Rattus norvegicus: one gene and its partner. The protein of the gene in region 2 binds, or shares a complex with, the protein of the main gene of each other region. Links are inferred from orthologs where the notes say so. Each region holds a gene or a part of one and is shown on either strand. Other genes may lie near its edges.

Region 1 (7,895 bases), on a different chromosome or scaffold from region 2:
GCTGCCATTTCCTTCTGATCTCCCACCTTCACGAGGAGTACCTCTAACAGTTACTACAAAGTTAGAATAAAGAAAGCCAGGTACCACAAAGGACCTAACTAATTCAATAAGGCAGGTCACAGAGGTAGTGTCATAAAGGCATGGTAACCAGTCAAGCTGTCCCCACCCCTCCTTTAACACTTGTTCTTTTCAAAAGACTCTTCTGGGGACTGGTGATATAGCCTAGTGGTAGGTTTGCACACTATGCTCAAGGCCCTGGGTTCAATCCCAACACTGGGAATTCTCCCCAAACCCCAGCAAATATTCTGTTGCCCATCCAAAAAGCTCAGCACCCTCTCTCTCACACACACACATGCCATTTGAGACTGTGCTTCCAGCATGACCTAGAACTCACAGAAGTGGTCCTGTCTCCAATTTCCAAGTGCTAGAATTACAAGTGTGAGCTACCACACTTGGCTCGAGGCCAGGTACTTTCCAGCTTTCCCTGATACCCTCTCTCCTGTAAGCATACTTATGGCCCCATCCCTCCTCCAACCAGGAACAGCACTCTCACTGCCTGTTTGCAGACAGACCTCATTTTGACTGGAACTGAGTTTTGTCAAAGTAGGACTGGATGTCAGGACTGATGGCCAGCCCACACAATTAAACAGAAGGTAGAGATCAGCTACTGTTCACCTACTAGCATCTGTGTGACAGGGATAATGCTCTATAGTTCACAAGTAGTCTCTATGTGTCAGGAAACAATGAGAAAGGACCGTTTGCCTCAGGAGTCAACATCATCTGACAGAACTCCCCGAGCACGTTCAATACTGAGTTACCACCCAACACCTGCTAAGTAACGATCAGACCAAGATTTTTAGGTAGTGTGGGGAATGATTGCTTCAGAAGAAGTCTTCCTCTTGCTCACAGAATGGGAAATTTGGAGCAAGCAATTTAGGGCTGTGGAGCCTGTTTTCTTATTCACAAGTTGGGATTGTGGTTTCTGGGTTCCCTGTCAGCCAGTATGGAAGCAGGATGTGGAGACCACTGCATCTCTGTGCAGGCAGAAACCACCTTCAGAACGGCGGTGACTGGCTGCAGTGAAGGTCGATTGGGGCCCTTGGCAGGGATCAATGACACAAATGTCTGCTGGACTGCTCCAGATCCAAGCGCCAGCCACAAGGCTCCAGGAAATAAAACACACATCCTTTCGCACATACACACAGAGCACAGACCTCATGCAGCCCCAAAGGGGCAGAAAAAGACTTTAATTAGGGCGGGGGAATTGATCAGAATCAGAGACAGCGAGCATGGGAGCAGAGGGGCCTGAGCAGGCAGGACTCACCTCTGCACCTCCAGCACAGGCACTGTACCCAGATGGGCCAACCTTGGGGCCTCTCAGCTGGAAGGGTGTTGGATGGACACCAGGCAGTCCCTGCGGCCAGAAGTTTGCCTGGCTTCTGACCCCAGCTCCTAGGCCTGCCCGGCAATCATGGAATCAGCCCTTGTTCCCAACCAGTGCAGTGGGCATCTTCAGGCAGAACTCAAGAAGCTAGCAGAGGGTCCATACCACCTCTACAAGGCCCAAGGGGGCTTGTGGGTAAGACAGCAAGAAAAAAAACTATAGTCTGAAATTTCCCTCTCTCCCCACCTGGGGTGGCTCTGGGGAAAAATAGTCGCCTTCTGGCTCCAGGCCCGCCCAGACCACAGCGACCAATAAGGTACAATCACTGGGGCCAGTCACAGCCACTGGAGGTGGAGGTTGGTTTAAAAAAAAAAAAAAAAAAAAGACAAAAAAGGTTACAGTCTTCTACAAGCACAGAGTTTAGGTTTCAAGACATTTAAAAAAAAAAGGCTGTCCCGGCCCAGGGGACTGAGCATCAGAAGCTAGCCAGACCAGACGCATGTGGCCATGGGGCAGGTCCACTGCTGCCTTTCTGCACAGCCAGCAAGCTCACCACACCCGCCTCCCGCATCCAATGCCCACCCAACCCAGCTTCCTGCTGCTGCTGCTGCTGCTGCTGCTGCACCGCTGCTCCGGGGAGTGACTCCAGGACACCTTCGCAGACGCAGAGACACAGGGGAGGCCAAGGGGGAAGGCTGCGAGATCCAGCTAGATGGTCTAAAACTGTCAGAGAGAATGACAGGCAATGAGTGGGGTTACTGTGTCCTGGGGAGCTGCTGCTGTTCAGGTCTCTGAGAGCCAGATCAGCCTTTGGCACTTCATGAACATACTCTTTCTTTGTGAACCTTCATGTGAATACTGGGAACCAAACCCAGGTTCCCCAAAAAGAGCAACATGTGCTCTTAACCACCCAATCATCTCTACAGTCCCACAAACACGCTCTTAATCTGGCCAGACATTAGCAATGATCTGAAGATACTGACACACAAATTAAACAAAGCAGAAAAAATGAGGACTTCCCTGTAGCCTGCTTAGCAACTGAAGCTGCTTTAGATACAGGCCCATGTGTGAGGGGCTGGAGGGCTCAGGGAGCCAAGGAGAGAAGGACAAGGTTTTATGTTATCCTTATGTTATCCTATGTTAAGCTTTGGGTGATTGTCAAACCAGAATAGGCCTTAGAAGAGCTGTCTGACCCCCACGGCTGCACACATTCACAATCTTAGCACTCAGGAAAGTGGAGGCACAAGTATCAGGAGGTTCAAGGCCACACTCAGCCACAGTGAATTCAGGGGCAGCAGAGGCTACCTGTTTCTCTGCCTTCCTCCCAGAAAGATCAAAAGAGAGGGAAAAATGGGGAAGGGAAGAGACAGGAAGAAAATGCTTTTTGCTTCAGGTAGCCGCAGTGTGCCAAGGACAATCCTGGGTACTATAAACCAGACCCTGCTCAATGACTGAGCACAGCCCAAGCCTGGGCCACATGATGTTCAAAGCTATGAATTGTTTATGACTTTGAAGACAACAGATGCTACTACAAATCCAAATTGGGGGTTCAGAACAATTTGTTCTGGCCTGGTTATATAAGCCTGCAATCCCAGCTACTACAGAGGTTGAGGCCGGATGAGTGCAAATTCCAAGACTCCTGGGACTACACAGTGAGATTTGAACTCAAAATATAAATAAAAAGCAAGCTGGAGACAGAGACCAGGGTTTGGGCAGAACAAGCAAAGCCCTCAGTTCCGTTCAACTCCAAGCTCCAGAAGAAGAAGCAGGACAATGGTGCAGTAGCAGGCTGCAGCTGCCTGGTGGCAACCCTTGTCAGAGGCAAGCGTTACCATGTTCCACAAAGCCCCTCAGCCACACACACTGCCTGCTGACACCGCAGCACCACCAGTCGCCCTACTGTAGATGCTTAAACCAGAAACCCCGCTTCATATTCCTCTCCTCCCAGTTACTAGGTGGACGCTGCACAGGCAGCTTCACTTCCAGAGCCTTGGACAATAAATATTAACTTCTAGGGGCTGGGAAAACAGCTTAGTGAACACAGCTCCCCCTGGAGGTCAGCGGCCAGCATGATCGCCAGTTACCTCCCATAGCTCCAGCTTCGGGAGACTGGATACTGGCCCTGTTCTGGGATCCATGGCCTGTCTGTCTCTCCTCATGCATACAAATTATAAGTGATCAAGTAATTAAGTTAAATACTAGATTGGGACAATTCCCTTTGGTCAAATGAACCTAGAGAGTCTTTATGATCTGTCCTGGAACTGTGGCGTTTGTTTCCATACCTGGAGTGTACTAAGCACTCTGTGATCTTAATGCTCAACTCCCTGAAAGGTGCATATGAACAGCACTCAGGCCACAGCTGAGGAAACCAGGCTTAGCTGAGCACTTCGTTGACATGCCTGGAGGAGGCAGAGGAGCCAGGCCCTCACTTGGTCTGATTTATGAGTATAAACAACACTGCTTTGTGTGCTGGCCACCCACAGGATAATTAAACCCCAGGGGAAGTGGGTGTCATTTCCACTTTTAGGTTTCTGAGCTCCCATGGGCTGGCTCTGTATGCACCAGTAGGGATAAACACTAACTCTACCATGGAGGGATCGGACAGCCCTGAGTGGAATGCATCAACAAACCAAACCGGAGACTGTAAGGAAGGCAGGAGTATGTGCTGAATCTCTAGACAAAACGATGCTACCAGCTCCACAGAGTAAACAATCCACCTCTTCTGAGCACTCCAGGCCTTTCAGTTAGATGGCCACAACCATGAGTAATGGGAAACATGTTGAAGAAACCATAGTAACGAGCCTGAAAACAGACACTGAAGAAAAATATTTAAGTCTGTTCGAGAAGTGGGCTGTCTTCTGGTCTCAGAAGATTCACAAAGCACTCTATCTTCCTCACTTGGGGCTTTGAACTAGGACAGGTAAAGACTGTGTAGAACTGGAATTTCCATCGGTGACTTGCCTCCCAGTCTTGGAGAAATAGAAAATGCCTTGTGGCTCTCAAGGGTGAAATCTTTGGCCTTGTGCTTCAAAGATCTTGGCTAGTCATTCTCTGGGTCTGAAGAGACTTAGGACTATCTTTCGAGTGCCATCACAAAACCCACCCCTGGCATCAAGAGGGGAGGGAGGCCCAACTCACGTTCTTGAGGAACTCCTCAGCCACGATACGAGCCCGGGCATTGACTGACAGTTTCATCTCACTGATCTCCTTGTCGATCTCCTCCATGAAGTGGATTACAAAGTCCACCAGTTTGTGTTTGTACATCTGCTCCGTATGGAAGTTGGTGATGAGAAAGCTGATGTCATAACCCTAGGGAGGGAAGCCATCGGGGAAGGAAGAGACAAGACAAAATTAGCCCCCCAGGGATGCCTAGTTGTCATATCTTTTCCCCACTCAAAAGACTTCTAACCGGCCTCCATTTTTTCCTGAGCTATATATTACCCCTCAGTCAGCAATCCAAACTTGCTTGGGTGGGTGGGGGTGGTGCTGGGGTATGGGGCGAGTGTACATTTGTGCATCTGCTGGACCCAAGCAACTGAACCCAATTCAAAATCGTGTGCCAGACCAGATGTCCTCGTGGCACAAATAGCCTTGTATTTGAAATGAGCCAAGGGAGTAAAGGAACCAGAAGTCTTATTTCAAAGACGCCAATTCAATAGTAAAAACAACAGGAAAACTGACACGGAAAAGGATGGGACTGGAGCTGTTTGCTTCAGGAGCTGTGTGAGGAAGAAGGGCTCACTCACTCTAGTGGCCCCGAGGTTCGAGTGAGGACTGGGAGCAGGGTGAAGAACACAGAGGCTGACACTCGGTGTGTTGGCTGATGGTGTCTGCCAGGTCACCAGGGAGACTTGGCAGGGAGCTGACATACCTTTCAGTACCTTAAGTACAAAGGCAGACAACAAGCAATTCACTGTTGACTGTGGCACGGAGAGGCTGGACTTCACAGTTGGTAGGAAAGTTTTTGTTTGGCTTTTGTGTTCCCCACACTACCCCATGTCAGTGTGCCTAGCCTCACTGCTAACTCACAATTCTCCCACCTTAGCCACCCCCACGCTGTACAAGCATGCACACCACCAACAGCAGGAAGGATTCTAAAATCACTGTTTTGTCTGGGACTAGGCCCGAGGTTCTGAGGAGGAGGAGGGCACTGTATGGGCTGACTCAGCCCAGGCAGTGAAACCCTAACCAGAAGCAGCAGCCCAAAGGCTGCAATCCTACAGAACCAGGGTGTAGCACAGTAACCTGTCCAGCAGTGCAAGGCCTTGGGTTCCATCCCCAAATACTACAAAAATCAAACATTGGGGCACACGCAGACAGAATCCTGGGAATTACAAATAAACAGGTCTCACCTCCACAGGTTTCCTTCGAAGGATAAAGAAGTTCTCTGCTCGCATCATCATGAAGCGCATGAATTTATGGCATAAAATCTTCTCAATCTCATCAGCCTGTCAACAGCAAAAGAGAAAGACAGTTTTTAAAGTCAACACTAATGTCCAAACTGCCCTGAGCCTGGTTTTCTGGTCCCATTGCCTCCCCAGGCTAACAGACACTGCTGAAAGGTTTGGCAGGACCAAAGATCTTTGAATTACAGCATCTGCTGATGATGAAAAGAAGTCCTCCCAGGGTCAGTCTCCCTTAACCAGTATCACTGAGTGCATCTCACACCAGACTCTCATCAGTCCCAATGGAGTCCACACCTGTATTACAAGCTTCCTGAATACCCTCAGGACACTAGTGGTTTTTCTCAGCACCAGTGACACATGGGATGTGGATATTGGAGACTTCCTCAAGAGTGTCTGCTTCAACATTACTAAAATCCAACAACCACCAAATCAGCTCTTCCAATTACACCTGCATCTGGGTAATCAGATGCCCGCTGCCGGCTGCCTGCTCCTCGTCTTTTTAACCCTGAAGCTCTCCTAGGCAAGAAGTAGCTAATCTGAATTTTGCAACATTGTTTTGTTTTGACTGCTATTTTGAGAGTTGTCTGCAGAGAAGGGGCAAATGTTATTCTTTTTCCATTTAGGATACATAGTTTCTTCCCAAAGTGGAAATAGAAATAGAGCTCAAATTTAAAACAAACTTTAAATAACCACTTGAGTTTTCTGTCAGAGACAGAAAGGCCCAGATCGATGTGGTAGGCATTTGGGAAACACTGCCTAAAGAAATATGGAGGGGTTGGGGATTTAGCTCAGTGGTAGAGCGCTTGCCTAGCAAGCGCAAGGCCCTGGGTTCAGTCCCCAGCTCCGGAAAAAAGGAAAAAGAAAAAAGAAAAAAAAAAAGAAATATGGAAAGGAATGGAAATTCTATCTTATACATATATGAGTTGGAATTGAACAGAAAGCTCAGAATGAAACTCAAATATTTATAATCCCCTGAATTCCAACAAAAGCACCAAGGTCACACAATGGTGACGATTTCTCCAACAAATTATTCTCACGACTGAACATTCTAATGTGGAAGCATGACCCTAGACACCAATCTACACCACATACAAAAACTAACTCAAGATGGATAAGCGACCTACAAGTATGTCCTCCAACTAGAAAACTACTAGAGAAAATACACAAAGAAAATAAATGACATTTGTCTGGGTGATTATTGGTAGACAGAACTTTAATTTTGACAGTTGTTGGCATTTTTCTTTCCTGACTCTGGATGTCCCATCCCACACACTGCTGGCCTACACAGCTGCTTCTGGAAGACAAGCTAGAATTGGACGGTCTGGGTGTTTTTTTTTTTTAAAGAATTCTGTATGTGCATGTGTTGTACCTTCTATTTTTAAATGAAGTGGCAGTTTCAGAAACTGACTATCAAACCAGTGCTGGAACTACTCTAAGAAGACATAGCCATCACCTGTTAGAAACCTTCTCTGCTCCAACACCTAACTGACCCCACGGCCTTGCCTGCCATATTTCCTTGTTTGGGATCCAGAGCAAGCCCTAGGATAGGGCTGCTGCTGTGGTTGTGTTCTACTGACCCACTTTCTATTTTATTTTAGATAGGACTCACCAAGTAGCCCAGGCTGTTCGTGGGCTTTCCCTCTTCAGTCTCAGCCTTCCAGATGCTAGGATTACAAATATGTGCCCCCTTACTTGGCTATACCTGTTTTCTCGGGCCAATAATCCCAAGGAAATTCATGGAAACAGGCTCTGACTCTGGCTCTCTAACCATTCCACTGGTCCTTGGTTGTAAAGAGCACTCCTAACTCTGCCTCCCTCCCTGGTAACTCACCTGTTTCACAGCAATGCTGACCCGGACAGAATTGATGGAGCCTTCAATCAGAACCTTTTCCTTCTCATTCCTGCTGATGGTAACAGGTTGCAATAGGAGTTCTTTGCTACTCCTAAAAACACAGAATCAGAGAACCAAGCTGATGCAATTGACTATGTGTTTCTAAAGGTACCTGTGCTCTATGAACTGTCACCATTTGAAAACGCCTAGTGAAAACCATGTATATCAAGTAATAACACACAGTTCATCATGTATCTCAAATAACAGTGCACCC
Region 2 (7,895 bases):
AAAACTCACAAGGATACACAGGATACACACCAAACCATGTGCTAGCATACATCTAATTTTCAACATCAGTGTGTAGTGCATTCCTTCATGACAATGTTTCTTTGAAAAACTGGGTTGCCAATTTGGGTTGTTGCTATGTAAAAACCAAACACTGTACACACGAACATCCAAATCCACTTTTAAAGCAAGAAAAAAAAAAAAGTAGCAATGTCTAATCCATTCCACTGTTAACAGCTGTATCAGGCAAAGCATATCAATAGGAATTGTTAAAAGAAGTAATTCCCTTCAAGTTTCAAAGTTGCCTTTTTCCTGTGGCTACTGTGGTGCCTGAACCATGCTAGCTAACTACTTAATAAACACCTATCACACACATTCTTTTTCAAACTCTAGCTGTCACTGTGAAAATGTTACTGAAATTTCTAAAAAGGCACCAAGAAAGCTCCCGAATCTCTGTGACAAATACCCTTTCACACACTCAATCCGTAAGCAGCAATGACTGGATGGATAGCTTATCCAGTGTTGTCCTCAACACCTTTGGCTGCAGTACATGCAGTAGAAGGCATGTGTGGTGGTGTGAACAGACTTGACCTATGGGAAGTGGCACTACTGGGACATGTGGACTTTTTGGAATAGGTGTAGCCTTGTTGGATGATGTGTGTTAGATATGAGGGGCTTTGAGGGTTCCTAGTGCTCAAGCTCCACCCACTGTGAAATCCAAGCCTCCTCCTGGTTTCCTTCAGCTCAAGATATAGAACTTTCAGCTCTTCCAGCACCATGTCTGCCTGCAGGCTGCCGTGCCTTCCACCATGATGATAATGAACTGAACTTCTGAAACTGTACACCAGTTACATGTTTGTCTTTATAAGGGTTGCCTTGCTCATGGAATTTCTTCACAACAAGAGAAACCCAACCTAAGACACTTCACCTTGTCTAGGCCATCTACACTAGCCACTCTGCTCATGTGACACTCCATAGAGTTGATTCTGTCAATGTTCTAACCACACCAATCTCAGCTTTCCCTAGAAACCCTTCCCATAGGCAGCAGGTAATGCCTTGTATGTTTCACAGACAAAGAAGAATTTCAAGAGAGAAATTGAATCTACTTCACCAAATCTGTAAACTTCTACTACAATGTTAGCAATACTCCCTGTATTTCTGTATACATGGTTATTTCTCTCTGTGTTATGTACATGTGAGTGCAGGTGCCTGAGAGTTCAGAAAAAAAAAAAAGTATCTTAACCCCTGGAGCTGGAGTGCCAGGTGGTTATGAGCGGAGGGCCCTATGAAAAAACCCACCGAACCTTTTCTCTAGCTCCCACCCCATCCAATTTGTCTTCTAGAATGCACTCCTACAACTTTCTCCAAGACCATGTTATATGCCCCTTTCAGTTTTCTAAGCAATATTTAGCATTAAATGTCTCTCCCATCTTACTTCTGCATCTTACCTTTTTATCTCTCCCTCCACAAGTCATAGCCTAACCTCAAGAAATAGTATTCCATCTGCCAGTCTTTCCTGATCTACCATTCACAAAGCTACATTCATCCAGCTCCACTGTATTTCTAAAATGGTACCTCTGCAGACATCTTATTGGATAGTTCATGCTGTGTACCTCTCTGTATCTCTCCACTCAAGTCTAATTAGTACACTTCCCAGGCTTTTCTCCTGCTGTAGACTCCCCTAGGTGACATCGCTCACTGTCCAAAGTAACTGATCCCTCCCCTTCTCTCTACCTTACCCATCTTGTTTCTGAGCTCCAAAGCCTGCACATTATTTTGTCTCAAAACATGTGAGCTGCCTCACAGGTACTTCAAATACACTACATAGTCTCAAAAAATAAACTTTAAACTTTAGCATACTTCTGACTCAGACTTTTAGATTTCTGTACCAACAATAAAAAAGCAAGAAATGGTGAATCATGGCAAATGTACAATAAAAGTGCAATCAAGAGATGAGAATATAGGAAATTTAATAGACTGCTGATTTTCCTCCATAAGTAAATAACCAAGAAATAAGAATAAAATACAAACACAGAAAAAGAAGTTATAGGGCAGAAGACTCATGAGACTTAACTACTAAATCCAGGGGAAGGTCCTTATTTTAACCATGACCCAAACATTTACCAATTAGGAAACATTCAAGAGAAATGTACTAAACTCTGACTAAAACCACAAAATACTGTTAACGGGCCAAGTACTTTTAAGTGAATGACTAGAAAGTAATTAGGAATGGAATAGCAAAGTAAGGTCAGTTACAAGTTTGTTAACTGCCAAAGCTGAGTGACAGGCATGTGTGGGGTCAATTTATTTTTCCTCTAATTTTACTGATTTATTGTTGTTTTGAGACAAAGTCTCACTATGCAGCTCTGACTGGCCTGGTACTTGCTATATATACTAGGATAGCCTCAGACTCACAAAGATGATGCCTCTGCTTCTGCCTCCCAAGGGCTGGGATTAAAGGTATGCACACCACACCCAGCCCTTTACTTTTAGCTTTGAATTTTTCTATAACATTTTAATGTACACATGTGAATAAACACACACGTACCTACATGCCTTTCAACTCTCTTTATCCCTACTAGATTTACCTTAGTCCAGCAGTTAGCCTATGAATCATGAACCCTTTGGGGGTTGAGTATCAGATATCCTGCATATCAGGTCTTTATATTACAATTCATAATTGCAGCAACAAAATATATGGTTGGGGATCATCACAACATGAGGAACTATTTTAAAGGGTCTTAGCATTAAGAAGGTTGAGAACTTCTGCCTTGGCCCAAGTCACGAACATTCCTTGCCATCTATCATTGTCTTAGAAACATACATGCCTCCCTCAATTAATTTCTCTTCACGATTTGAGCACTACAACAATTTCTTTATATCTTTCCTCTAAATAAGGTCCACAATAATCATGAACTATTAATAGCTCCATTGCATAGATAAATAGACTGCTAAATCCCCAACTAGACTAACTAAAGTACAGAAAGTTAAGTCATTGAATACCATAAAGCTAGAAAGAAATACAGCCAAAATTCAAGGTCAAACAGAACGTATTAACACTGTTGATCCAGTATATCCATGGATGTTACCTGTGTGTGGACTGGCTCTCATGATGCCCCTGGACTTCAGGCATATAAGCTATGCTGCTCCCTGTCTTCCTCATAAGCCTTCTTATGACTGGTTTCTGCCTAATGACTATCTGCACATCTTACCTAACTCCAGACTCAGCTCAATAATTTATCCTTCAAGGACTGCTAAATCCCCAACTAGACGTTATAACAACTTCTGTAGCACACACCTACAACATCCTATCCTGCTTTTTTTCCCTTTTACTCACTTCATAATATATCCCTGGGAGAGAAGTTGTTTCTTACTACTTTCTTTTCAGCACAAAGCAAAACCCTAATGTTGTATTTTTACATATAGTAGGGTATAGTTATTCATTTAACATTACAAAGGAAGAAAAGCACGAAGGAGGAAATGAATGATTGGAAGTGTTTACCTCCCAAGAAGGCTAGAGTAGTTAGCTATGAACAAAGACACAGGAAGATGTGTTACAAGATTTGCTCTTACCTGGTACAATCAGCCGCATACATTCTCTAAGCTACACAATGAAGACTACTTGCTTTACTGTGTAAGTTCTATAGCAATGAAGGGATAGACAGAAGGGGAGGAAAGAGGAAGAACAATATTCCCATGTGACTTAGAAGAAATGAATATCTGATCAATGAAGAAATCTTTCTAGATGTAGCTATGTGGAGAAAGAAAACTCAATCCCTACTGAGATCCCTGAGAGGCAATGGGCATGGAAAAGTAAATCCACCCACTTCAATATGTTAAAGCTGAAAGGAAGAGGAGAGCAGAGCCAGATGGTTTTAATCCTGGCTTTAAGCTTCTTTAATCCTAGCACTCAAGAGGCAGAAGCAGGCAAATCTCTGAGTTCAAGACCAGCCTGGTCTACAGTCAGTTACAGGTGAAAATTTTAAAACAAAAAACAGAAAACTCGTCTGGAGAGAGCAACAAAGCCACAAGAGTGAGACAGGCCGGCAGCTGACTGGAACCCTCTTAGAAACATACCTTTGTTGCATATGTGGGCTTTTCTATTGCTTCATCACCAATGAAGAAGTCTAGGTCATCCACGCCTTTCATCACCCTCCTCTGGGCTTGATCACCCACTTTTGCAGACTCTTTAATGGCAATACCTTTGAAGTAAGTTAATTAGACATTTTAAATTTTCATCTCTTCAAATCAAACAACTTTTAACTTGCTTTCTTCAACTGTAAAATGTTGCTAAAAACAACAAATAAGCATGATCCAGAATACTTAAAACTGTTAACTAGGGAACAAAAGCTGTAAGAAACTGGCCTTTCGTACATCAGCACCTCAGCTTCATCTCAGAGGCAAGTCCTCAAGTATAAACCACAAAAAGGTATTACTATGGGACTGTTTCAGCTCTATTTCCAAAATCTATTAAATCCATTTTGATTCTAATTATGTGGATGTATATGTGTTACTAGGGTCTCACGTATTCAGGTATATACTTCCACCAAGCTATATACCTAGCCCTTATAGACTTTTTACTTTTGAGACACAACCTACTAAGTTATCCAGCCAGTCTTAAACTTGAAACCTGCCCCCTTCAGCTTCACAAACAATAAGAACTGCAGTCCTTTGCTACCAACCCTTCGCTTAGCTCTGAATCCTGTATGGCCAGAATGATGGCTCAGTGGGTAAAAGTACGTGTTTCAGAAATCTCATGACCTAAGGTCGACATAAGACCTGTAAGAAATGTATTCTGACCTCTACATGCATGTTATGACAACTATGCAACCATATTCAACATACAAACAATAAGCTAAAAATAGAATTCTAATCTTATAAAGTCAATATAAAACTTGGTGGACAGTCAAGAAATTAAAGATGAATAACATTAACCAATAAAAGAAGAAAACCTACAAAAAGAACTTTTAAAAACAAGCTTTCTTTGCATCTTTATTTATTTTTATCCAATGGAGATCTACTAAATTTTAATCTTAAATACGAGAAGTAATCCCTTTAAAGAATTTCAGAATTCTGTGTCATTTCCCAGAGGTAAAATCTATTATGTACTTTTCAGAACTAGAGATGACTTGGTGATTGAGAGAGCTTACAGTTCACCCAGAAAACCCACATTTAGTTCTCAGCACACTCATTAATTCACAACTGCCATAACTCCAGCTCTAGGGGACTGGATACTCTCCTGTGTCTCATACACACATATGGTGCCCGTATATACACACATGACACTCACATACACACATGAATAAAAATAAAAACATTGTTTTAAAAGAAACCCTGCCATGTAGTCTAATTAGGTTTTAATTTTGTAAGTTCAACTCTTCACTCATAATCATGCAAACAGCTTTCAGATGATGGAAATCAAAAATACAAAAATAATGCTGAGGGTACTATACATCTTTACTAATAAAAATACCTCTAACAACCTAAATCTACTAAAACTGTTACAATCAGCAGAAGGTTAACAGAAGCAGAAAAGAACAAAAGTTTCCCAAGACAATGTTACAAGCATAGTAGCTTATATCAGAGAGCAGTGAGGCTGCTGAGTTAAGGACCACTGGCTCTTCACTGTCAAATATTGGTGTCTGCACCAACTGTCTATAGGACAGGTCTTGCAAACAGTAACGGCATCCTCCCGCCAAAGGATGGTCACCTTAGCTGAATTACAGGTACTAGAGTTGTGCTACTTAATAACCAGTTACAGATACACACAGATACACAGACACACAGACACACAGACACACAGACACACACACACACACACACACACACACACACACACACACACACACAGGGGTAGCAGCAAAATCCTCAAACAGAGACTATTTAATTATCAATTCACTACTGGGTTTTGTTTTGTTTTCCTTATAGAGATACTTAGCAGATTTGGTAAAGACCTGAAATTTAAGAGTTGGAAATAAGGTTCCATTTATAGGCAATCATGTTTCTAAATGCCTGATTCTGATATAAAAGCATGCTTAATGACTTATTTCACTTTGATAATGAGGAAGACATTTAGATTAGTTCAATCACGGAGTAAAAGAAATACTTACATGATGGGATGATAAACTGTGGTTCTGTATTTCCAGCATATCCTAGTTTTGTATATCTGCAAAATAAAAATTTCATAAAATTTCACTAACCTCAATATGTATTCTGCAATTTTTGTTAAAAAGTGAGAGTTCATTGTACATACATATTCAAAAGTTTAGTTCATTCAGCATCTCTGCCTTGAAAACTATCAAAATCACTTCCTGGGCAATGGTGGTGCATACCTTTAATCCTAGCACTTGAGAGGCAGAGGCAGGCTGATCTCTTGTGAGTTTGAGGTCAACCTGACTACAAAACGAGTTGCAGGAAGGACAGGGCTCTAACACAGAGAAACTATCAAAATCAAATATGTCTGTAGTTCTGTTTCTTTCTGCTGTATTGTGGACCAAACTATGGGGTTCTGCACAAGATAGGCAAGTGCTCTATTACTAAGCTATAAACTCAAATGCCCACAGCTTTAAAAAAAAATGTACATTTTGTATGTATGAATGCATGTATGTATGCATAGGTGTTCACCATAATGCAGGTATGGAAGTCAGGGGATAACCTGGGTCTCTTTTCTACCATGTAGGTTCCAAAGACTGAACACAGATCATGATGCTTGACAGCATACTCTCCCTTTGTAAGTTTACTCATTTACTGTGTGTACACAAGCCACAGCATGTGGAGGTCAGAGAATAACCTTCAGAGATAAGCTCACTCTCTTTCACTATAGGGATTCAGAGACAGAAGTCTACAGGTAGTCAGGTTTGGCAGCAAGCACCTATACTCACTGAGCCATCCCACCCACCACTACCACTTCAATCAACTAATAATAGGGGACTATTACTGTATGTGTGAAGCAATACAGGAAAACCTTCTCTATAACCTTATTTGTAATGGCAAGAGACTGGAAATGTCCAAAGGGAAACTAGCAAAATACACTCAGTTTACACTGTGGCTATTATGCCCCTTTATGAACCGACTGGAACACTACAGATATACTGGGGTAGCTGAACAAAGCAAGGTACAGAACAATAAGCAAAGTGTGCTATATCTACATAAAAATGAAATAATTGAAAATTATGAATAAATGAAAAAAATACATTTGATAATCTAGACACAAAATATTTCTAAAATGTATGACATAAGTAATTTTTGGTTGCATCTACAGGAGGAAAACAAGTAGGATACAGAGGTGAGATGATTTTATTAAATTATATGTCATTTCATATCACTTAAGTGTTATACTATTAAAGTGATTTTTAATGTTTTGATCCGATATTCACCTATAAAAATAAAAACTATTAAAATATTAATAAAAATTATAATAATTAGAAACTGTAATGAAACTTTGACAATATGCTAAGAGCTACTTATAAAATAGATGTGCGCACTGTTAATGACAAGTAAGCATTAGAGAGCCAGTCACAACTTGTATTATTCTATATGCAAACTTACTAAATTTGCTGTGACATCACTAGACTCTGATAATATCTGCAGAAAACTTTTCAAATGTGAAAAAAAGCACTTCTTTTGGGATGGTCAGTCCCAAAACAAGGTTTTAAAAAATTGAGTATGCCAAACACATTCAACCAGTAAATATTAGGAGAAACACAGACTGTCCAAAATATGATTTTGCTCTGTCACCTAAACCTTCCAATATTTCCCACTGACTATGCCTGTTTTGTTTGAAGGAAAACTCTCAAACACGATACTGCTCCTTTAATGTGATGCCTAAGAACGCCCCCTCCCCAACCCCCAACCCCAAGCTGCTCTGATGCTGTGTTAGTCTGGAGCCATAGAACTGC

What was found. The genes of interacting proteins can lie anywhere in the genome.
Region 1: the proteins of Actr3 (region 2) and Arpc4 are in contact, whole or in part, in a cryo-EM structure (PDB 6YW6), measured with the Homo sapiens proteins. The link is inferred for Rattus norvegicus from reciprocal best matches to the Homo sapiens genes ACTR3 and ARPC4. Residues at the interface, in NP_005712.1 of Homo sapiens: Lys53, Gly54, Val55, Leu58, Glu121, Glu124, Tyr125, Glu128, Glu132, Tyr400, Glu401, Pro405, Arg409; in NP_005709.1 of Homo sapiens: Lys89, Arg92, Phe93, Met96, Arg97, Glu99, Asn100, Arg156, Ile159.

Annotation. Positions count from the first base shown.
Region 1 is NC_086022.1:148,081,748-148,089,642, reverse strand, and holds the end of Arpc4 (actin-related protein 2/3 complex subunit 4), read right to left. Parts: intron 7,734-7,895; coding exon 7,622-7,733; intron 5,833-7,621; coding exon 5,737-5,832; intron 4,694-5,736; coding exon 4,523-4,693; coding exon of another isoform or gene 4,496-4,522; exon of another isoform or gene 2,108-4,495; coding exon 2,102-2,107; 3' UTR 1,216-2,101; downstream 1-1,215. UniProt on the Homo sapiens protein: Actin-binding component of the Arp2/3 complex, a multiprotein complex that mediates actin polymerization upon stimulation by nucleation-promoting factor (NPF).
Region 2 is NC_086031.1:39,373,960-39,381,854, forward strand, and holds part of Actr3 (actin-related protein 3), read right to left. Parts: intron 6,164-7,895; coding exon 6,108-6,163; intron 4,200-6,107; coding exon 4,075-4,199; intron 1-4,074. UniProt on the Homo sapiens protein: ATP-binding component of the Arp2/3 complex, a multiprotein complex that mediates actin polymerization upon stimulation by nucleation-promoting factor (NPF).